Notamacropus eugenii: one gene and its partner. The protein of the gene in region 2 binds, or shares a complex with, the protein of the main gene of each other region. Links are inferred from orthologs where the notes say so. Each region holds a gene or a part of one and is shown on either strand. Other genes may lie near its edges. The genes, in order: SMURF2 and SMAD7.

Region 1 (11,735 bases), on a different chromosome or scaffold from region 2:
AGCCTTTAGTCCCTAAGCCAACCAAGTCTCCAGGAATGTCTTAATACCTTTTAAGAAATGTGTACATCTGGAAGGGTGTAGAAATCTTCTGAACATTTAGTGAGGTGAGAAAACTGGAGGACAGAGTGGGGGAGGGACTTTTAGAGGGGTGTGTGGATTGAGATGGGGTAGTAAATGGGGGTATTGTTGAGGAGTAGGTGAAGTAAGTGGGTGGGAGGGGGAGGAGAGAAGATAAGGTAATAGGAATAGGGTAAAAAGAGAGGCTGAGAAAGAAAATAGCGAGTAAAAATAAGGTGGAGGGAAATTCACAAATAGTAATTATAACTTTTAATGTGAATGGGATGTTTATGATGGCTCCCTTTCTGGTGGCAAAGAACTGGAATCCTCATCAATTGGGCAATGGTGAAACAAGTTGTGGCATTTGGTCCTAATGGAATACTACTGTACTATAAGAAAAGATGGGCATAATGACCTTAGATGGGCACGGAAAGTCTAAGAGCAAAGTGAGAAGAACCAGGAGAACACTGTATACAATACCAGCAATATTGTTTTAAGAATGACTTTGAGTGAATGGATCATTTTGGCTATTATAAATACACAAACTAAAAATAAAGAACATATGAAGATGCTATCTGCATCCAGAGAAGGAATTGATAAAAAGAAGCATGTATAGAATAATTTTACATATACACCTATTTGTGTCTAATGGTAGGCATCTCTAGGGCAAAGAGTAGAGGGAGGGAAAAAGAAAGAAATTTATATGTTAACTTCTTTGTATATTTAGAGGGAATAGCAAGTTGTACATGGTAGATTTGTAGTTTCATGTGCAATTATCTTTTTTATTGTACTGTGTTATAGAAATGCTTGTTCTGTTCCATGAATTGAAAATAAAATAAAGAAAATGTTGAGTGGACTACATGTCTTATTTGGTTCCTCCATTGAACCTAAACTACCAATAGATTGGCCTAAATCAGGCCCTGCTCAGAATAAAGAGGGAGATTCCAACTAGTAGACTAGGGAACAGTGAATTTAGTAGTGGTGGTGGGGTGTCAGTGTTCACTTGAACCCTGAAATAAGTTGCGTTTAATCAGTCAAGAAACATTTATTAAACACCTGCTATGTGCCAGGTACTGTGTTAAATACTGAGGATACAAAGAAAGGCAAAAAACCAGTCCCTGGCCTCAAGGAGTTCACAGTCTAATGGGGGAAGACAACACATAAAAAGAAGCTGAAAGGAGAAGTAGGGTAAGGTGGGGAAATCTGTGCAGGTATCTGGATTAAGTTCTGCAACTAGTTGTTAAGTGGAGGATATAGGAGTCAGTCTCTGATGTCCTCCCTGCACCCTGTCCAATCAGAGGGAGGAAAGTATTCCAGGGAGAGAGGTATCAAAGAATTGAGAATTTTGGAGTTGATGTGGTCTTCCAGGAGAATGAGTTTGGAGATAATAATAAAGTACCAGATAGCTGCCAGGATGGGAAATCATGAGGTAGTTGCCCTTAAATGAAGGATGTGAGAGTAGCTCACCAAAGTCATTCAAAAAACTTAGGACCTTGTAACTATCCTATAATAGCTGACCCTGATCCATGAAGAGGACTGATGACTGTCCCAGAAGAGATATCATCTGTATCATGGCCTTGTTGTTCCTGGTGCCACTCATTGTCACCTCTTTTGAATTCTTGTGACTATTACTGCATTTTCCAAATGAAGTCTTTGTTATCAGTCTGTTCATAACATGATAATAATTTCCCAAAAGGAAATTATATCGGAGATTTTTGCAACACATTTAGAAGCTTTCTTTAATCACTTGCTATTACTTCTAAGCTATTTAAAGCTGTTGAATAACTTGCCCATGGTGTCTCAGCAAATATATATAATTCTTTTTTTTTTTCTGTTTTCCTTTGTAAATGAAAATGCTTATCTTCTTTGGTGCTGGTTAAGTTCAGAATAAGAATTTTTTTTAAATAAAAGAATAGTTAATTTGCTGTGATTGTTACCTACCTCTGACATCATTTCTCACTATCTTCTCCTTTAGTCTGGTCACTGGTGAAGAGGTGACTCTTCACCTTGCCAAGGCTGTCTCCTTTCTGTTTATTTGCCATTGCTTCTATCTTCTCCTATTTTATCTAACAGATTGTCCCTGCTATGATACTCAAATCTTTAATCCCTGCTGCCTACAAAAATTCCTTAGTCTTCTTCATTTGATTTGATTCTACCATCACCATCAACTATTATTCTACATCTTCTCTTTCTTGGCTAACCTTGAAAATGTCATCTGTACTTAGTTCCTCCAAATTGCTCTCCTATCCCTCTATTCTAAACTCTTTGCATTGTGGTTTCTGATCTCATCACTCAACTGAAATTGCTCTCTCTAAAGTAATCAATAATCTCTTAATTTCCAAATCTAATGACCTATTATGCTAAGTTCTTATCCTGTTTAAACTCTGTGCAGCATTTGATACTGTTAATCATCTGCTTCTGGTTACTCTCTGGGTTTTTATGACTCTTCTTTCTTCTGGCAAATCTCCTACCTGTCTAGTCATTATTTTTCGGTTTTCTTTACTGGATGTTCATGTCACTCCCATTAACTGCAGATGTCCTCTAAGAATCTGTCCTGGGCCTTATTCTCTGTTCTTCCTATGCTCTCAAACTTGGCATTCTCATCAGCTTCCAGAAATACAATTATCATCTCTGTGCAGGTGATTCCTAGATCTTTATATTCAGCTCTAATCCCTCCTGAATTACATAGTTCCTGTTTTCAAACTGGGTGCCCTAGATGTCCTCAAACTCAACATATTCTACCCAAAACAACTAATTTTCTTTCTATCCAAATGTCTTCCAAACTTCCATATGCCCTGCTGAGGGCAGCAACATACTTCCTGTTACCCAAGTTTGTAACCTCAAGGTTATACTTAACTTTTCACTTTCACTTATCTCATATTGCCAGATCTTCCCCTTTTCTTCACATTTTTTGGATACATTTTTTCTCTAATCATGTAGTCATCATCCTAGTTCAGGCCTTTATCAGCTTTCACCTGGAGTATTGTCATAGTCTAATCGAACTCTCTACCTTGGAGTCTCTTACTTTGTTAATACATCTTCCATACAGTTTTAAAAGTGGCTTTCCTAAACCTCAGGTCTGCTCATGTCCTCTCGCTATTCAATCAAGTCCAATGGCTCCCTATTGGGAATTTTAGGTTTAGGACAGTGCCTGGCATACAATAGATGCTTAAAAAAAATACTTTGTGATGAGTTTTAGGAATAAATGTGTACCTTTTTATTTGGCACTTTTAAACATCCTGACTCCTATCTTTCCAGTCTTTATACACATTACTTCTTTCTGCTCACAATGTGGTCTTCTTGCTGTTCTCCACACCCTATGTTTCAGTTCTCATCTATGCTACCTTTGCCCTGTTTCCTGACCTCTGACTCATGTAATCCCTGGCTTCCTTCAAACCCCAGTTTATGGGCCACCTGTGCAGGGCCATTCCTAGTTCTCTTTCAGTACTTGTACCTTCCCTGAAAGTATCTTTTGTAACAAGGTATTGGATAGGTCTTGAACTAAATGTCCCCTGGGTAAAATAAAGGTCTAAGCCTTCACAAGGAATTCTGGGATTTGTAATCTGAGAGACAGAAAGCATTTCTTGTTATCCTGAGCCTGGAACTACAGATTTCAATGGCACCTGGAAGTTTTCAAAAGAAGTAGTCTGTGAGAGAAGGGGAGAGACAGAATATGGAAAGGTAGCAGTGGCAGGAGTGGATACCATTGAAGAGAAATATCTGGTGGTTTTCTTAGGGTAGTGTGTGTGTTCTGGCACAGGAGGCTGAGCAAGGAAAGATGACTTCAGTGCTCAGTCTTTGATAAATGGAGCAAAGAAACTCAAACTGAAGTTGCTAGACGACTGTCTACTTAAGAAGTAAGGAAAACTAGGGAAAGGTTTTACTCTTTGCATCTCTCACCTCCCTGTTTGCTAACTGCTGCTCATGTGTAGATTTTTGCCCCTCCCTGCTCCTTTGTTTCTTTATCCTGAATTTGTTTCTTATAAATCCAGGGTCGATTATGACTGCTTTGACTTACATACATTTATTCAGTTCTTGGAAAAGGGGACATGAGGGATGCCACTGATTGGCTTAAACACTTAGGTCGGAGGGTTACACTTTGGTTCAGTGTGTGTGGGGAGAAAGGGAATAAGTATTTATATATCCCCAACAAGCACTTTACAGTTATTATCATTTGATCATCCATCACAACAACCTTTTGAAGTCGGTGTGATTAGTATTCTCATTTTACAGTTCAGGAAAAAGGGGCAAACAAGTCAAGTGACTTGCCCAGGGTCACACAGCTAGCAAGTTCCTGAAGCGGGATCTGAACGCGGGTCTTCATGACTTCAGGTCCATTGCACCGTTTCATTGTAGCTGTTGTTATAGCACTCCCCAACTTGTTTATAGCAAGCTCTTATGATTTTAGTAATAATAATAATTTTATAAGCTTCCCCTAAAGCAGAATTTAAATTGGATCCCAGGCTTTCCTTTCCCCTAGGCTATAGATGCGAACTCTGTTACAGCCCAGACTATTTAACTTTGAACCTAGGAATCCCAAGCAAAACTCCAGGGGAAGTGTGAAGCAGGGGAGACTGAGGGAAAGGTCCCGCCCTAAGGCCACCCAATGGGAGGACAAAAGTCCGGTTAGGGAAGAATCAGTCCCTCTCCTTTTTCCTTTTTTTCTGGGGGGTGGGAGGGGGAGAAAGGGAGTGTTTCCCAGCTAGATCTTCCCCACAGTGACACCAGCTGATTACATCTCCCTTGTATATATCTTGTATATCTAGACCTCTTCATGTTCATATTGCTTCCCCCCATCAAGGTCAACCTCTTGAGAGCGGGGACTTGTTTTCCCTTTTTCTTCGGACCGCCAGAGTTCTGCACGGGGGACTGACACAAGGCAGCAAGAGCTTCAGGAACGCCTGGCAGCTGTCACCGCTGGAGGGAGGGGCTGGGAGGGACGCTAAGCCTGTGGAGTGTCGTAGCCACAGGACCATCTCAAGAGAAGGTAGCCCAGCTGCTCCAGGAAGAATGCACAGAAGGGGCGGGGGCGGAGGCGGGAGGCATTTAACTTCTGTCCAGGCTTCCTCGACTGAAAAAGGAGGAGTTCTTCCCTCCTTTTCCTCTTGGGGAGGCTAGCGCTTTAAATGCTAGAAGAGGTTCTACCAGGGAGCAAAGCTGTTACTGGGTTAGGAGTCCGGTCACCCCCAGCTCGGGTGGCGGGGGGTCGGGGAACCTGACCCCACCCCTTAGGAATGGAACAGAATGTCTCCCCAGGGTGGGGGTGGGTGAGGACGCCAGGTCGGTCAGCCGCCTCTTCGGGGCTTCGGGGACACTTCTGCCTCCCAAGGGTCCCGAAAAGCACGTGAGGAGGCGTGGCAGGGCCAAGGCCAGGGGATAGGTCAAGACCGTCTGCCGGGGCGGCGGCGGCGGACCGGACGCTCGGCTGGAGCCTCTTCCCTTCCTCTCGGCTTCTTCCGTCCCCTCGCGCTCCCCGTGACGTCACAGACCCCGCCCCAGCTCTTCTACACCCTTTGTCACCCCCCCCCCCCCAAACGCTCAGCACTCCCCCCCAGACTGAGTGGCAGCGTCGGCTGGAACGCGTTCCTTCCGAGGGAGGGCGGGTGGAGGAAGGAAGACGAGGAACCTCGAGCTCAGCCCCGGCGTCGCCTCAGCCCGGCCCCTCTTCGCCGAGCCGAGCCGAGCAGGGCAGCGGGGGGCTGGCCGGAGCCCGAGAAGCCGGAGGAGAGGGCGGGCGCGGTGGGAGCGATCTCGGCGTCCCGCTCTCTCCTCGGCTCATGGCGAGGACTCTCGGCACATCCGGGACCCTGGGGCCGCCGCGGCCGCGGCTCCGGCTGCTCCGTCCCCAGCGCCAGCCCCGGCCCGGGCCTCAGTCCCAGCCCCGGCCCCAGCCCCGGCCGCTCTGGTGACTCCGCCGCGCCTTCGCTCCGCCCGTCCGCCCCCGGCTCACCAGCCGCGCGCTCGGATACTGGGAGACGCCCGGCCCGGCGCCCCGCGCCCCGCGCCCAGGCCCTGGACGAGTCGCCGCCGCCGAGGCCGAGGCCATGTCTAACCCCGGGGGCCGGAGGAACGGGCCCGTCAAGCTGCGCCTGACAGGTGAGGGCAGGGCCATGGGCCGGCGGGGATCCCGGGGGCAGCCCGGCTCGAGGCGGGCCGGACCGGGCCGAGGGGACCGCGGTCTCCCGCTGTGGTCCCAGGAGTTGCGGCCCGGCCCGGCTCGCGAGGAGGTGTCGGCACCGGGGTCGGAAGGCCTCGGGCCAAGGCCGATCCAGAGTCGCCGCTTTCAGAACTCTCGCAGCCCCTCAGCCACCTCTGTTCTTTTGTTGGGGGACTGGGAGTGAGAGAGAATGTGTGCGCGCGCGTGTTTAGTGAGTTTGTGAGTGTGAGAATGCGTGAATGCTAGTGTGCGTGTGTGCGTACGCGTGTAGAGGGGAGGTCAGGTTTTGAACTCGACTTACTCGGAGTTGGAAGTCCTCGGAGCTCCAGAGCTGGGCTCTCTCTAGACTCCTCTCAGCACTGGCCCTCCCAGGTTCTGTCCCTTGAAGCCCCAGGCTGCGGTGCCGCCCGCCTCGTGCCCCGCAGAGCTTGAATGCAGTGCCCCTGCGCTGGGGATAGGGTGCACCCCCTGGGAGCACGAAAGCTTCTGGGGATGTTTGCTGAAGCACCCCTGGGTTATTCAGGTGACTCCCTGCTGCCAGTCCAGGGTAGCCTGGAAGCCGTGTTTGTATACATCGCAAGGCTTTGTTGCTCATGGAGGAATTGTGTAGACGGACCACCGGCCCCCCGCCACCTTTTCTTCAATCTTACACTTTTTTATTGCCCGAAATCAGAATAATCAAGCTCATTCAACATATTCTGCGTTTTGACAGTGTTAATGGTAACCTAGCCTTTAGAAAATGCTTATTTTTGTGAGCTCAGAGAAGCCGTGTGTGTGTAAATCAAGAACTTGTAAACTCAGGACTCCTGGGAAAAGAAAACTCTGATATCAGGAAAGCGTTTTCCCCCCATGACTTTGGCTAAAGTTTGCCAACTTGAAAAAATAAACCAAAAAATGGCTCTTCTTGAGCTTAAAAAAGAAGTATATTGTTTCATAATTTACCTATCAGGTGTGCTAAATACTGATATGACATCGTAAACAAATTTTGATTTTTGTTTTGAAGATATGTCAAAATGAGTCAGTTACCCTGCCCTTGGGGAAAAAATTCCAGGTTGCTAAAGTTTATCTGAATAACTACTGAGAAAACCCAGTTTTATTAAAATAGGTGTTTTAGGTATAGTTTGATCAGTGATAAAAGTTGATATTCTGATTTGAAGTGATTAAAATTTTTGTCACAGAATTTTTTTTGGCTCTTCCCCCTAAACCTACCACTTTCTCTTGAGGGCATCATGATTCTTCCTATCACCATGGTGGTCATTCCTAACCTTACTGTCATTCTTAACCCTTGACTCTTGTTACAAAGAAATTGTCCATATTTAATCAGTTGCCAATTCTTACACGAATCTATCCCCTTGTCACTTCTTATCCCACAACCACCCTGGGTCCAGGGCTTGTAACCTCTTGCCTGGACTGTTGCAGTAGCTCCTAATTGGTCTTTAGGCCTCCAGTCTCTATGCTCTAAAATTGATCCTCCACACAGTTGTGAAGTCTGACTGCACTTCTTTGCTCAAAAAGTTTTAGTGACTCCTCATCACTGCCTTTAGGATAAAGTACAGATTACCCTGTTTGGCATTTAAAGTCCTGGCTCCAGCCTATCTTTTCAGACTGATTACACATTACTCCCTTTCCTGAACTCTACACTCTAGCTAGTAGTATGGGCTGTTTGCTGTTCTTGGTGCAGGCCATTATATATCCTTCCTGTCCTCCCTTCCTGCTCTCCCTTCTAGTCTCTGCTCCATGGATGCTCTACCTGCATTCAAAGCTCAGCTCAGGTGCCATTTCTTTCAGGAGGCCTTCTTTCATGTCTGTTGGTCATTGTGTATTTATTTTGCATATATCCTGTACTTATACATTGACTGTGTAAGGTCCTTGAGTTGGTTGGTAGCATTTTTATATTTGCATTCTCAGAGTTTGTTGCAATGTGTAACACATAATAAATAGGCACTTAAATGCTTGTTGGCTGATAGAAGAAAAAGCTATACCTGTTGACTTTGTTATTATGTGGATTTGGTAATTAAGCAATTGCTATCACTTTCAGAGTCCATGGGCATAACCTCTGAGATTAAAAACTCTGAGGTTAATTTGGTTGATAAATGTGGGAGATTTATTTTAGATTGAATGTATGCTGGCTCTACCTTTTCAAGTCCGTGTCTATGATGATATTAAGCATACGAATTATGACTCCAGATGAGCAATAGGTATCAAAAGTAGGATTTTTGCTACTTATTTTTATTAAATCTGTCCCTAAATGGAGAAAATGAAAGTATGAACAGATTTGCAGCAAATAAAAAGAAGTTGAGTTTTCCACATAAGCCATTAGATTCTTAAAATGTGTCCAGTGTTTTGGATTTTTTTTTTTTTGGTGCCAGTGGTTTTAAGGTGCTTCCTTTCTATGTGTAAAATTTAATAAAGCACTGAGCAGTGTAGGTTTCTCAGAAAGATTGTAATCTTAAGGAAAGACCTTCTTTAGTGCACCAGACTAAACTTCATTAAATGTAAATTAATTATATGTAATATAATAATTGAATTCATGTATTTTCAGATTTTGATAAATTTCAAGATACAATGTTATCTTTATTGCCATTGATTATAAGGTAGTGTTAGGAAGCCTGATTTGTGTGGTTTACTCTTGAAATTTGATAATTTTTTAAAATCTAAATTTTTCTTTTTCTCTTTGGCTTCAGAGTGACAATTTTTTATTTTGGCACAAATCCTCCCTTCCCCTTTATTATTTGTAAATCAGATGGTATAGAGTTAACAAACAGATTTCTAGAACTGGATTTAATTAGCAGCTTTTTAGGATATAAACACTAATGGGTTAGATGGAAAACATTGTTTTGACTGACTGGATAAATGACAAGGCAGTGTTTGATCAAAGTCCAGGAATTGGTCTGGAGCTAATACCCAACTTCTCAGTCTGTCCTTGAGAAGCCAAATAAAATATTTAACCTAGGCCTAATTTTTTTGGGGGGAAAAAGTTTGATTTTTTTGTTAGGCTCTTAAGAAAGTTCTAAGAAATGTTTGGCATACCTTTACACTAAGTGTTTAATAGTTTATTTAGATCTGGTTTCCATGATAGAAAAAAACATCGGTAGTAGGCATTTAAAGAGTTGATATTTGGTTTATGGAACACACTGGCTATAAGATCCTTCAAGATTATTGTTCTTTGCTTTATTTGTTTTATCATAAACCATTTTTTTAAGTAATAGAATTTTTAGTTTTTAGACTATCTTTTATTCCAAAATACTTTACGAACTGTAGGAATGTGCATATGGATGTAACCATGGGTATATATGCATAGAAACGTATTTCCTTGATATACAACTGCCTCTGATGAAAGATGATAACCAATTCTTTGGACATTGTTAGGAGGAAAAAAAATAATTCAGCTTGGGATATTTTTGGTTTTAGTAAATGCTGCATAAACTCAGTGTTCAGGCCTCAGATTTTCAAGCATTTACCTAAGTTCTAAGTCACTGTGTTGTTAGTACAATACTTGGTACAAAAAGACAGGGCTGATTTAATCCTGAATATGTGGTAGAAAGCCACATATTGGTCTAGAAAGCCTATCCACCCTGTAGCATTTGTAGGTGGTTATTAAGTATATGTTTTTATTCTTGAGAGTAGCTATAGCTTGAAGAAAGCTGTCAACATTAATAAAATTGATATTTAGATGAAATTGAATGATTTAAAAAAATTTTAAGATAGGATTATTACTGGAGTAAATAAATTTTTAGTAGACAAGGTTTTAGAAAAGTTGAGTGATGTGTATTCATATTTGAACTTTAGCAAAATTTAGAATTTTGCATAGTCTCAATGTTTATAAATTTATCAAATAGTTATTGGGGTTTCTAACAATTTTAGTTTCTTAGATGTAAAAAGTTAATAGTACTTCTCCATAATAGTGATTTTAAATACTTTTAGAATTTCCATTCCATGATTTTCCTGTCTCCTCCTTGTAACATCTTATTACTCTAGTACTCCAATGGATCCCATCCATGGAGGCATTTTATGCTGTGATTCAGATCATAACCTATTTCTCTCTGTCCATCCAGTGTGACTCATTTGTGCTGTCCCATAAATTTCCCCTTAGGTCTCTTGGAATTGGAGGGATATCAGTGAAACACATGGGCTGTCCATTGGCTTTATCTCTTTAACTGAGCCATTCTTTTTGCCATGCATTACACTTCTTCGATAACATCCTTGACTCAACTTCTCTTGAGTTATTCCACGTGTGTAATGTCTTGAAGCCTGTTTAGTACACCATGTCAGTAAGGCAAGAATTTTTTGAACACTTAATGTACAGTAGTCTAAGGCCTGGGAATACAGAGAAAGGCAAAAACTGTCCCTGCTCTCAAGGAGCTGGTATTTTAATGGGGGAAATAACATGCAAATAACTTTATATATCTAAGTATCTGGCTCCATTAATTCCACCACCCACTTAAAAAGTAAATTACCTTTGTTAGGTAGGTACTTTTTTATTGAATCAAACAATCAGAACAATTGTGAACAGGCCTTGTATACTTCCTTGCAATAAAAGCCATTGTTAGACTGTTTCCCATCTTCAGAATTTGTATAAAAGGCAGGAACAATCTCAGAATTAAGAGTGAGAATAGATGAAGAGATTGGAGCAGGCTTGACCTTTGCTTTATACACCTTTGCTGAGGGGGAAAGGAACAAGTATGAAGTGCTTACTATGTTCAAGCACTTCCGCTATTTGCCTCATTTAATCCTCACAACAATTCTGTAAGGTGGGTGCTATTATTATTCCCATTTTACAGTTGCAGAAACTGAGACAGAAAAGTTAAGTGACTTGCCCAGAGTCATATAGTGTCTGAGTGAGTAGGGAGTGGAATTTTCTTGACTTGTAGACCAGGACTCTTCATCTGCATTTCTACCTACCTGTAAAAGGGAAGTATCAATTATGGTGGAGAAGAGATATAGTGAGAATTATAAGTGAGAAGCAAAGGAGAGGAGGACCTAAGATTAGAGAAGTCCAAGGGTCAGCTTTTTCCCCAATGTCTCCTCTCAAATGTCCATCCAGACATTATAATATAATCTGCTATTTTGTTACCCAAATATTTCTGAATTTTAGCCTCAACCTAGAAGAAGCCAGGAGTTAGTGTTAAGCAGATAGCCTCTGCCTAGGTGTTAGGAATTTTTCTAATTGGCAGCACAGAATGATTGGGACTGAACTTTTCATCTAAAATAAACTCCTTAATGCTGAAGAGGGGGAACCAAATAGACCTTGTTGTTATTGAGTTGTTTAGTCGTGTCCAACTCTTCACAACCCCATTTTGGGATTTCTTGGCAAAGATCCTGGAGTGGTTTGCCATTTTATTCTCCAGCTCATTTTACAGATAAGGAAACTGAGGCAAACAGGGTTAAGTGACTTGCCCAAGGTCACACAGCTAGTAAGTGTCAGAGGCCAGATATGAACTCAAGAAGATGAGCCACTTAGATGCTATTATGTTGCCCCTGAGGATTAAAAAAGAGGTAACGATTAAAATGTGACATAACT
Region 2 (12,629 bases):
GCCCTTGGTGAAGGGACCGCAGGGACGATTTTTTACTTTTTAGTACATGACACAAGGATTAATAAATGCTTGTGAATGGATGGATAGATTGTGTTGAATTTTCTCTTTTTTAAGTATATTTTTTCTGGTTCCCTCCATCAGAAGAGGAGCTCCTAGATGACTAACTCACAAAGCAAGTTTTGTTGTGGTTTTATCGTCCTCATATCCTTGGCACATCCCCAACTGCCTAGGCCAGAGCTCTGGTGAACAGGACTCAGTTGTGGTTATTGACTTACTCTATACCTGCAGAATAAAAGTATTGGATGACTCTGGGTCCTTGAAGACTCAGAGTTCGGAGCGTTTTTCTTTGATTATGAATTCAATACATCTTCATTCCCTTTCAGCTCTTATTCAGTAGACAGCCAAGGAGTGTTGAGAGCCACATTGGTTTTAGTAATGCTGCCTACCTTCCTGAAATGATTTCTTTCAATTGTATTATTGCCAGATTAAAATGGCTTAGTGCTCACTCACACATTTTCAATGAATGATTGTGCAGGAAATGTTGATATTTTACAACATTTTTTGAACCATTTAAACTTAAAAATATTTTTGAAATCTTTAAAAATGAAGAATTTTTTCTCCCCCTTTTCTTGGTTGCTGATACCACCCCTGAACCTTACCTTTTACTCTCTCTTGAAGTTATTTTTTGCAAAGGAAGCAGAGCGGGAATTCTAATGCCTAGTCATTGCTATTAACATTTTATTTTCAGGTTCTATTTAGGATTTTTTTTGTAAAAGGTTCTTTTCCATCTAGCCAGAAACCGTAGTCCCAAATTCTTCTTACTTGTTTGTGTCTCAACCCTCCTTACTCTTTCTTTGTGCAGTACAATGAGTTAGAGTTAGAAAAGACTTGGATTAAAATTCTGCCTCTGACACTAAGTAATTGTGTAACCATGACATAGAAGGACCATTGGACTTGAAATCAAATTGTATCAGACACTTACTAGCTAAGTGATCTTGGGCAAATTACTTAGCCTTTCTAATCCTCAGTTTCCTCATCTGCAAAATACCTATAGTATCTACCTCAAAGACATCAAATGAGATAATACATGCAAAATTAGTTTTGCTATATACACATCATCTGTCATTACACTATTTCCTCCATTGCTTTTCAGGATCCCATTTTCTGTCCCTTTTGGCTTCCTGGGCACTCTGTTGAAACCTTCAGGTGGGGTCTGGGACGGAATTTTAAGGGTCTGCTGATGTTAAAGGGGAGGATTTGGGGGAGACTCAGTTACCAGACAAAGTTGCTCCCCTTTCCCTCTTAAAAACCAGAAGCTTGCTAGCTCATGAATGCTGGGATGGGACATTTGCCCGAATTCTTCCTAGGTTAGTCCAAGGCTCTTCAACTATAGGAGATTAAATAGCCAGTTTCTTTAGATGACTCCATCCTTGTTTGTCATAACTGCTGCTAGTTATTTTGGTCTCCATGACTTGTGGCTGTACCATGATTAGTGTTTGATTACTATCACCAAAGTGACTAAAAGATGAAAATAGAAGCCACAACAGGAAATAAACAACTGCAAATGAGATATTTTATTCCATATTCCCTGCCAGCAACTGATTAGAATCAAATTCATTCATAATAGTTGGGGGGGGGGCGGGGATTTCTAAACTCTTTTTAAGGCCCAGAGGAAGCAGGAAAGGTACACATGTCCCTCACATTTATATTTGTGAAAGAGAATGGAAAGGAAACTTTCCACAGAGCAGCAAGGGACCCTCCTCTGCAGTAGGGACCCGTCCTACCCAGTAGTCTCAGACTCAAACTGCTTGTTTGTTTTATGTTTAATACCACTAATCTATTCACACGACTATCTAAGTCTTTGTTTGCCTTTGCTGAGATTTGTTAATCTAGTTATTGGCCTCTTATACAAAGGGCTACATAATATGGGGGAAGAGGGAGCCACTAAGTAGTCCAAAATTCTGGTTTGAGATTCTTGCTTTTCTTGGCAGTTTTTCGAAAGGAACCGTGAAGGAGAGGACAGATGGGGAGAATTGGAAAAGGTTTGCTGTTAATATCAAGATAAGGGGTCATTGATGTAAAAAGCATGAAGAATTAATAAAGATTGATGCTTGCCCCTATAAATCAGCTCCTTTGAAAAGTTTTGGTTCAGTGAGTTCAATGGAAAGGGAGAAGCAATGGCCAGAATGAAATAGCTCTCTAAAGTCTGGATTAAAACAGTATAAACAATAAAGAAAGGTGGTGTCACATAGGTGACCCCTCCAAAAATGATCCCTTAGCAAGAACTATGTTCAAGTCCCATGCCTGATATGTGATGCACACTGGCTGTGTGACCCCAGGGAAGCTACCTATCCTCTTAGTCCCCCAGACAACTCTGGAAAACAATAAATTTTAGGGCAGGTGTCAATTTGCTTTGGTTGTGAGAATTTCTTCATCAGGAGTTCCTTAGGGCAGGGAAATAAAATTCCTTCCCCTCCAATCAAAAATCCCCTTGAGAATAGGATATGTATGTATGTGTATGTATATGTGTGTGTGTATATGTATACACATACATGCAAACAAATGGCACATATGCCTATGTGCTATCTAGTCATGCCCTCAACATAATAATATAGCATTTGATCCTCACCACAACCCTATAAAATAGGTGCTGTTATCATACCTATTTTGTAGATGAGTAAATCAAGGCTGAGAGAGCTTAAATGACTAGCCCAGGGTTACACAGCTATTTGGGGTAGAATTTGAATCCAGCTGGTTCTGAATCGAACTCTAGCACTCTCAACTCTGCCACCTTGATGACACCAGATTAAACTTTTGTCACATTTGTTAAGTTTGCCTGACATATATGTGTTATGTATGTATGTATTACTTATATTTCTATTAGAAGGAGAAAAGTTAACACAATTTTCCAAAGCTTTTGAAATAAGAAAACTTTTTTGTTCAGATTCTCAAGTTAGCCAAGAAATACATTAGCACTAGGACTTTTGTTTTCTATTTATTCAATTCCATCTTAACATCTGAAGGCTAGTCTCACAAAATGTTAGAACTGGGAAAAGACCTCAGAATAATTTAGTCCAATGTCTTAATTTTATAGATGAGAAAACCAAGCCCCAAACAGGTGAAGTGACTTGCCCAAATCATAGCTCATTAGGTAGACTCCAAATGGAGTGTTCTTTCCCATAGTGGGCCGCCTTTGGAAGATGAGCCTGCCTGTCATTTATTTATTTATTTGTTTGTTTGTTTGTTTATTTATTTTTTTTATTTAACTTTTAACATTTATTTTCACAAAATTTTGGGTTACAAATTTTCTCCCCTTTTATCCCCTCCCCCCCAAACCCAAGCATTCTAGTTGCCCCTGTGACCAATCTGCTCTCTCCTCTATCCTCCCTCCCTGCCCTTGTCTCCGTCTTCTCTTTTGCCCTGTAGGGCCAGAAAGCTTTCTTGACCCCTTAACCTGTATTTCTTATTTCCCAGTGGTAAGAACATTACATTTTGATCCTAACACTTTGAGTTCCAACTTCTTTAGCTCCCTCCCTCTCCACCCCTTCCCCTTGGAAGACAGGCAATTCAATATAGGCCAAATCTGTGTAGTTTTGCAAATGATTTCCGTACTAGTTGTGTTGTATAGGACTAACTATATTTCCCTCCACCCTATCCTGTCCCCCATTACTTCTATTCTCTTTTGATCCTTTCCCTCCCCATGAGTGTCAACCTCGGATTGCATTCTCCTCCTCATGCCCTCCCCTCCATCCTCCCCCCCACCCTGCTTGTGCCCCTGTCCCCCACTCTCCTGTATTATGAGATAGGTTTTCCTATCAAAATGAGTGTGCATTTTATTCTTTCCTTTCGTGGAATGTGATGAGAGTAGACCTCATGTTTTTCTCTCGCCTCCCCTCTTTATCCCTCCACTAATAAGTCTTTTGCTTGCCTCTTTTATGAGAGATAATTTGCCCCATTCAACTTCTCCCTTTCTCCTCCCAATATTTCTCTCTCACTGCTTGATTTCATTTTTTTTTTAAGATATGATCCCATCCTCTTCAATTCACTCTGTGCACTCTGTCTCTATGTATGTGTGCGTGTGTGCATGTGTGTGTATGTACTCCCACCCAGTACCCAGATACTGAAATGTTTCAAGAGTTACAAATATTGTCTTTCCATGTAGGAATGTAAACAGTTCAACTTTAGTAAGTCCCTTATGACTTCTCTTTGCTGTTCACCTTTTCATGGTTTTTTTTTTTTGAACCCTCAAGAACAGTATTTCTGTCTTTATTTCATAATGCTTAAAGATTCTCTTGTAAATACTGAGCAGGGAACTAAACTGACACTCTGAATTGTCAAGGTCCAGATTCTTCCTTCCCATCTCCATTTCTTCTGTGTGTAACAGCTATATTTCTGATTAAAACTCATAATACTTTGTTGTGGCTGACTCTTTGTGACCCTATTTGGAGTGGTAAAGATACTAGAGTACCATTTTCTTTCCGAGCTTGTTTTATAGATGAGGAAACTGAGACAAACAGGGTTAAGTGACTAGCCCAGGGTCACACTGCTTCTAAGTGTCTGAAGTCAGATTTGATCTCAGGAAGATAAGGAGTCTTTCTGACTGCAGGTCAACACTCTATCAACTGCACCACCTAGTTGCCCCAAACGTGCCAAGCTACTTCATTAGACCTTAGAGTTAGAAGGATTTACAATGGGGAAAATTAAGATCCAGAGAAGAAATGACTTGTGCAAAGTTACATAGACCTGAGATTCAAATTCACATGTTTTGATTCCAGATCCAGGATTCTTTCCACAATGAAAGAGCACCTTTCCTATTTCCAATGAAAAGTTTAATTGAAACACATAGCTGAGAGAAACATGTTCTCTATTGGTATATAGGCATTCTATAGACTGATGTACCTATGCACAGCTTCCCAGAAATGTATTTAGATGATCTCTGCTAGAGAATGATCACACAACATAAAAGGATGTGTTTGAGTTATTTAGTTTTTTCACTCACACCTAATTCTGTCCACCTTTCTATGTGCAAGGCAATTTGAAGTTACTAAAATATCTGAGATAATCTCTTTAATCTCAAACAGTTAACAGTCTAGTAAGGGAGATATAAAATTCTTGCTTTTTAATAACAACTTAAAGTTAACATTTCTTGTTCAGTCACATGAAATCCCCCCATTTTGAATGTTTACTTTTTAAAAACTCATACTACTATTTGTTCCCTGTACATGTCAAGTAGGCAGCTAGGTGGCGCAGTGGATAGAGCACTGGGTTTGGACTCAGGAAGACTCATCTTTTATGAGTTCAAATCTGGTACTTACCAACTGGGAAACTCTGGGGAAGTCACTTAACCCTGTTGGCCTCAGTTCCTCAACTGTAAAATGGACTGGAAAAGAAAATGGCAAGCTACTCTAGCATCTCTGTCAAGAAAACCTCAAATGGGGTTATGAAGTCAGACATATGTCTAAAGTCAACAATGTATGTCAAGCATGCTAGTTTTTTAAATCAATAAATACTAGACATTACTAATGTTTGTATATGAATTTGAAAATATCAACTGTCACCTCCTCAAAAGAATCTTTTCAGATCCTCTTCCCCAAGCTTTTTGCAGACCTCCACACCCAGACATTCCTTTGAATTTTATACTTAATATTTACTTATCTATGTTCTTCTTATTTTTCCCCTTTAGAATACAAGCCCATGGAGGGTAGAAAATATTTTAATATTTATCTTTGTATACTAAAGGGCCCCGTGAAACTGCAGTAGGAGCAAATGTTGGTTGAATTGAACATTACTCCTGTATAAATGTTTTATTAAGATTCTCTGAATTCCATGTGACCCAGGGCAAATCACTTAACCTTTCAATGCCCCAGGCAACTTTCTAAATTACTGAGAAGGTGCGGACCTGCTTTGGAAGTGGGAGTTCCTTCCAGGAAGCCCCTACCCAGATAAGATCAAAAGTCCAGTCCAAAAAGGGGGGGTAGGGGGTTGGGGGAAATCATCTGGATGTTCAGTTCCTCACTCATCACCAACTTACACATTTATTAGGGCTGGCTGTCTAGGTGGTGGAGGAGTAGATAGCACCCCAGGTTTTCGGTGTCTGCAGCACTTAGTATAATGTCTGGCATATCGTAGGCGCTTAATAAATGCTGCTAGTTGACTTACTGAAGAAGTATGGAGAAGATACAATTCCTGATCCTCAGCATCATAGTATCTAAGAGAAACCATCACCATCCATGTCACTAAGGGCATATGTTGCTATATGCATGTCTCCTATAGTGCCATACATTTCAAGGCAGCCGATTCAAGCTTTGGTTACGTTGTGTTCGTGGGGGTTGAATGTTGTGTCTACATATTTACTTACGAAATAAGAAATTTGCAGGTCACTACATCCAGCCTCCCTCCATTCACCCACCTCTTCGTGTTGGGAGTTGCCAAAATCCGCTACAAGCCCCACTTTACACTTCACAACCCTAAATACATTCCAGAGCTGTTCACAATACACACTTCCGATGTAGTTACCGAAACAAGAGCGTGGAGGAGACCGAAAGAAGACTGAGGTCACATTCTCGTCCGGCTCCCCACCCCTAGGCCAGAGCTCTGCTCGTTCCCCTCCAGTGGAGACTTCCTGGGGCTCCAGTCCAGTCTAGTTTTAAATGACTTCTTAAAAGAGGACAGAGCTCCCCCCTCCTCCCTCCGGAGACTGCTGGGCAACAAACCCAATAGATCTCACGGTCAGGACTCTCCATCTCTTTAAATGAATGAAATGGGTTGGGGAGGGGGGCTTAGAGGAAAGATTGGGCCGGAGGGGTACTGTACAGGGGCAACGAACACCCAGACTAGTCTGCTGATGCAAACCCATTCTTGAGTCCTTTTTTTTGTTTTGCTTTTAATATTTTCTCTTTGCTGTAACTCTTCCAGCCGACCTGATTTTATATATGTGTATGTATGTATATAGATAGATACCTATACGCATGCACGCACATATATAGGGAATCAGGTGTTTTTTTCTCTCTCCACCTCCTCTTTTCTTCCTCTCTTTCTCTTCCTTCTCAGTTTCTCTTTCTCTCTCCCCCTCTCTCCCCAGAATTCAGGAGGAGGGAGTAGGAAGGGAAAGCAGGGGGGGGAGGGTGGTAAGGAGAAGAAAAAGAAATAGCTTTTAGAAACCCGATCTGTTGTTTGCGAAACACAATCGCTTTTTTTTTTAAAGCGACAGGGTGTCTAGACGGTCACGTGTCCAGGCCGGAGCCGGGCGCGCCACTGCGCAGTGGAATCAGCGAAGCAGAGAGAGCCAGGGCGAAGTGGGAGGGGGGGTGTAGGGGAAGGAGGAGGAGGAGGAGGAGGAGGAGGAGGGGCGGGGGAGGAGGAGGAGGAAGAGAAGCAGGGGAGTGTGTGTGCAGCAGGCGGCGAGCTTCAGACACACATACATACATACACACACACACACACACACACACACATGCATACACGGGAGCTAGGTCCGCGAGTAGAGCGAGGTGAGAGCCAATACCGGCTGGAGGCAGAAGCTGTTCGGAACCCTCACTGCCCTCCTCGGCTTCCCGGAGTCTTCCCCTCCCCTCGGGATTGCAAAGCACCGGAGCCCGGCTCCAGAAGCCAAAGGCAAAGACTAAGAAGAAGAAGGACACCCCACATTAAAAAAATATTCCCCTCTGCCTTCTCCTGCGAGGCAAAGCCTGCTGGTCCCCTCCCTCCCCAGAAGAAGAGGGGAAAAAAAGGGAGGAGAAAATAGGAGAGAAGAAGGGATTCCAAGCTTTTTTTCTTGCTGCTTGCTGCCCGGCGCATTGAGAGGAAAATAAAAGTCGGAGAGGCCAGAGAAGAGAAGGAGGCGGAAAGTAAGCAGCCACCCTCGAGGGAGCCCCGAGCCCAGACAAGCGACTGCCTGCCGTGCTTTTTTTTGATCTTTCCTCCTCCTCTCCTTCTCTCCTCCTCCTTCTCCTCCTCCTCCTCCTGCTTGCTTGCGTGTCTGCAGCCGAGGCGAGGAGCCTGGGCGAGGAGCAACCCTGAGAGGAGGAAGACACGGTTGCAGTAGCATTTGCTAGAGAGAGCCAGCCAGCCTGCGAGCTAGAGAGCGAAGCCGACGCCAGTCTCACCTCCTGTCAGCCTCGGCATCACCCCCCCTCTCAGATCTGTTTTTTCTCTCATCTCCCTCCTGCAGCCGTGGGGCCTGGAGGAAGTGGGGACTGGGTCGGGGCGGGGGAAGCAAGGCTATCCCTCGGAGATCCACCTCGGAAAAACCAGGAGAGCTAGTGAAGGCTGGTGCAGTTTTTTTTTGGAGGGGAGAGTGGGTGGCTCTTTGTTTTTTTTTTTTCTTCTTTCGCTGAGGTGGTGTTAGGAAGGAGGAAAGACGAGAGGCTCACTTAAAATAATAATCAGACGAGCATGGTGGAAGAAGCCGATTCAAAGCTTCCTTTGGATTAAAAAAAGATACATATACACATATGTATATATCTTTGGCAGAAGAAAAGGAGAGGAAGAAGAACCGAGCTCCTAGAAGAAAAAAAAGGATGTTAACTCTTGGATACATTTTTTTCCACCAAAATTTTTTTTTGTGATACTTTGTAAACGTTTTGTCGCCCTTTTTCTTCTCTTTTTTGAAAACTCCGACACAACCGGACGTCCCCGGGGCTGCGCCTTGCAGTGGTGATTGTTTTAAATTTTTATTTAGAATATTTGGGTTCCCCTCCCTTTTTAATTGAAAAATAATTTTTTCGTCAGGCACCTCATGCGGGGTGAAATTCACTTTCTTCCCCTCCCCCGAACCTTCGTGTGGATGGAATTCGTGGAGATCCGGTTACTAAGGATATAGTGCAAAAAAACAAATTAAATCGCGTGCCTGCCTTTTTTTTTTTAATTGCCAGCTTCTCCTCACCCCCAAATTAAGTTGCTTAGAGAAGGGGAAAAGAGCATTTTCTCCTGATTCAATCAAAGAAACAAAACCTTAAATTTTCCTTTTCCTGAGGTTCTTAGCCTCAGTAAGGAACTGAGGCTGGAGGTGCTGACATTCAAAAGCTACTCCTCTTCGTTCTGCGTTTGGGGGGCAGTGAGGAGAGAAGGAAGAACTACCTCTCCTGAATCCCCGTTTTTTCTCCCTTTTCCTTTGTATCTTCCCTTGGTCAGCCCGGTCTGTTTCCTCGGCGGGGCTGGGCGAGACGACCTGAATTGGGTGCCAGTGGAGCGGGGTGGGGAAGCCGGAGAGGAGCGGTCCCTCCCCTGCCAGGCCCCCCCAAGCCCCCCCACTCCCTCCGGGCTCCGAGAGACTGGCGCATGTTACGGAGCGTCCCTCCTGCCGCTGCCGCTCCTGCCCGGGCTCTTGCTGCTGCTGCTGCTGCTGCTGCTGCCGCCTGCGACTGCTGCCCCAACTCGGCGCCCAAATTCTTCATGGTGTGCGGAGGTCATGTTCGCTCCTTAGCCGGGAAACGACTTTTCTCCTCGCCTCCTCGTCCCGCATGTTCAGGACCAAACGATCGGTGCTCGTCCGGCGTCTCTGGAGGAGCCGTGCGCCCGGCGGGGAGGACGAGGAGGAGGGCGCAGGAGGAGGCGGAGGCGGAGGAGGAGGAGGGGAGCCGAGGAGGGAAGGGGCGACGGACAGCCGGGCGCATGGGGCTGGAGGAGGAGGCGGCGCTGGTAGGGGTGGCTGTTGCCTGGGCAAGTCGGTCAAAGGTGCCAAAGGTCACCACCACCACCATCACCACCACTCCTCCTTGGGCGCCGGCGCTGCCGGGGGCTCGGAGGCTGAATTGAAGGCGCTAACCCACTCCGTGTTGAAGAAACTGAAGGAACGGCAGCTGGAGTTGTTGCTGCAGGCGGTGGAGTCCCGCGGGGGAACCCGCACCGCCTGCCTCCTCCTGCCTGGCAGAGTGGACTCCAGGCTGGCCCTGGGGCAGGGGCCTCCCGCGTCCCCTCTCCAGACTCAGCCTACCCAGCCTCAGCCGCCGCCGTCGTCTTACTCGCTCCCCTTGTTGTTGTGCAAAGTGTTCAGGTGGCCAGATCTCAGGCATTCCTCGGAAGTCAAGAGGTTGTGTTGCTGTGAATCTTACGGGAAAAACAACCCGGAGCTGGTCTGCTGCAACCCTCACCACCTTAGTAGACTCTGCGAATTAGGTAAGGAGTTTTCACTTGCTTCAAGTAAAGCTTCTCCCCTTGCCAGTGATGGAGCAAACAGAATTGGGGTCTATACTTTTTACAACTGTGTGATTGCATTCTTTTCACCCTGCATTGCTAGTGGGGAAAATGTGTGCTTATAGTGAGGATGCATTGTAAGGGGATCCGGGGGCTTGGACTGATGTGTACTGTGCCTTCTTCCTTTTCTCCACTCTTCAGGCCCGTGAGTATGATTTGGCGTGCATATTATTCATGCAGACCATACGTGTGCATGTAGTTCAAAATTAGAGACCAAAAAAGGGTGCAGAAAAAAAGTGTCCTTGCTCCCTCTTGCCCCCACTCAGATAAAGGAGTAGGAGATGTCAATGATGCAGACTAATTGATTCCAAGAGAAGTGGAAGTGTTCCGAGTGACGTGAATCTCCTATCCCTTGGTAAATAAGGAAAGTCAAGTTGACTCTGGGACTGGGCTATGGGGATTGCAAAGACAGCTTGAAAAAAAGCTATCTACATAGCCTGCTGTAGATTTCCTCCTGAATTGAAGAAAGAACAAGAAGCCACTGGGACATTGGGATTCCAATTTTTCCTCCTCCAGAAGAAAGAGAGAGTCCATACAATTACAGGCTCTGGTATTTATCAGATGACATATTTGTTGCCCCTTTACAGAGCTATAGTCCAAAAGGATTCCCCTTAAAGCTCTATATAATAAGCGTAAGCTGTCATTCACTGTCCCCCTCCTCTGACTCTCTCTCTCTCTCTCTCTTTCTCTTTCTCTCTCTCTCTCGTTTTGGGTGAATGGGGGCATATTGATTTTGGAGTATTTTCTAATTTAAAACTCCGTTCCCATTGTAGCCGTCCCAGAGTTTCGCGCAGCTCCTACAAACTTTCTTGAGTTCTTGGGTGGTTGGGTTGTGAAATAGAAATCAGCTGGTGGCAGGCAGATCGATAGGACTTTTCTCCTTTTTTCATTATGTTTGGGTGTGTGGTTAGAGGAGGAGATGAGTGTGGGGTTATGGGGAGGGTTGGGAGTGAAGGGGGATTTTCTTTCTTTCCCTCTTTTCTGTGAAATGTTCTACGTGCTGCTCGGGAGGATTATCCAGCAGCCTGAATCCGTGGTGATTTCCAGAGCTGGAGTGTTTCAGCTGAGCCAGGGAGACCGGATCAGACAGTCAGAGTAGCAGATAGCAGCGAGTCTGGCGCCAGGCGGCCTCTTTTGTTTATCTGACAGCAAAATATCAAGGCAATCGCCGCCTCCCGGCCCTGCCTCCAACCCCCAGAGCTAAGACAAACAGTTTTGCTAAAAGAATGCCACTGTTATCACAAGTTTCTATCTCTTTTTCTCATGGCTCTGCCTTATTTTCTCTTTACTTTTTCAATTCCAGAGTCTCCCCCTCCTCCCTACTCCAGATACCCAATGGATTTTCTCAAACCAACTGGTGAGTAGATGATTTTAAAGTACTTCGAGTGTGTTTAGGAATAGAATGGTTAAGTCGGGTGTGTAGTAAAAGCAGCAGGGAGTCGTTATGCTTATTAAATATAGAATGTGCTCCTCGTTTTTTGGGGGTTTTTCCCAGTAACTTTGTTAGGGCTAAGGGGCCTTTTTTTTCAGGCTTATATTAGAAATGCTTTAAAATATTTTGTTCCTTTTAAGTGTTTTTGCCCTCTGTGCCCTACCAGTTTTAAAATGCATAGGCTGTGATGGGTACCAGAAAAATGTCAAGGGAGTCAAGAGATAACTGGTTTTTAGAAGAATTTTAGAAGAATTCAAAAATTTCTAAAATCCCAGTGCCCAAAGAGTAAGGGCGTGGAGTGGGGAACTTTTACAAATTCCAGCACTTTTTTCATTTTGATGGATCTAGGTTGGTAACCTAGTGGCCAGAGAGAATGTTATTTTCTAAGGTTAAAAAAGGTGATTTGTAGTACATTTGAGTTTTTAGGAAAACAGCAACCACAAATCCTTCCCCTTTTCCCTGTGTTACTTCCTATCCCTAGTCACCTGTAAGTCAGCCTTCTCCCATGCTTCCTTAAGAATTCTTAGTGGGGGCCATAAAAGTTTCTCAGCCTTGTTCTGCATGCCTGTTGCTTTATAATTGAGTGGCAGGATGCCAGGGCAGAAGCCCATTTGAGGCTGGCACCGGCTCTGTTGCGGTTGTCTGTATAAACTTCTGGTTGGCAGCAGGCTTGGCCCTGTGTTGATAAGTAGGACCAGCATTGTAGAAGGAAAGAAAGAAGTGCAGGGGAAATAAGAATGGTGGATAACATCAGGGAGGAGTCCTGGTTTCATGGAGCCACTTTATATCTCTCGAAAGATTAATTGGCTAAAAGTATTGATTGTAGCACAAGTTGTCTTTGTGCCTGTGTCCCAGTGTTGGAATTTTTCAAGCTTTTACTTGACCAAACATGTGATATGAGAAAAAGAGGCATGTTAGACCTGAAGAGGGGCAGAGGTGGGGCAGGTGGGTAAGCAAGCCTCCCCAGAGCTCTCCTAGTGTCCTCGGAGCATCTTTTAACCTT

Evidence for each region.
Region 1: the proteins of SMAD7 (region 2) and SMURF2 are in contact, whole or in part, in an NMR structure (PDB 2LTZ), measured with the Homo sapiens proteins. The link is inferred for Notamacropus eugenii from reciprocal best matches to the Homo sapiens genes SMAD7 and SMURF2. Residues at the interface, in NP_005895.1 of Homo sapiens: Glu203, Leu204, Glu205, Ser206, Pro207, Pro208, Pro209, Tyr211, Ser212, Arg213, Tyr214, Pro215, Met216, Asp217; in NP_073576.1 of Homo sapiens: Glu304, Arg306, Asn307, Thr308, Ala309, Thr310, Arg312, Tyr314, Val316, Asp317, His318, Arg321, Thr322, Thr323, Gln324, Phe325, Thr326.

What each region holds. Positions count from the first base shown.
Region 1 is NC_092873.1:327,714,296-327,726,030, reverse strand, and holds the start of SMURF2 (E3 ubiquitin-protein ligase SMURF2), read left to right. Parts: upstream 1-5,966; 5' UTR 5,967-6,101; coding exon 6,102-6,153; intron 6,154-11,735. UniProt on the Homo sapiens protein: E3 ubiquitin-protein ligase which accepts ubiquitin from an E2 ubiquitin-conjugating enzyme in the form of a thioester and then directly transfers the ubiquitin to targeted substrates.
Region 2 is NC_092875.1:323,882,147-323,894,775, forward strand, and holds the start of SMAD7 (mothers against decapentaplegic homolog 7), read left to right. Parts: upstream 1-7,367; 5' UTR 7,368-9,461; coding exon 9,462-10,116; intron 10,117-11,497; coding exon 11,498-11,551; intron 11,552-12,629. UniProt on the Homo sapiens protein: Antagonist of signaling by TGF-beta (transforming growth factor) type 1 receptor superfamily members; has been shown to inhibit TGF-beta (Transforming growth factor) and activin signaling by associating with their receptors thus preventing SMAD2 access.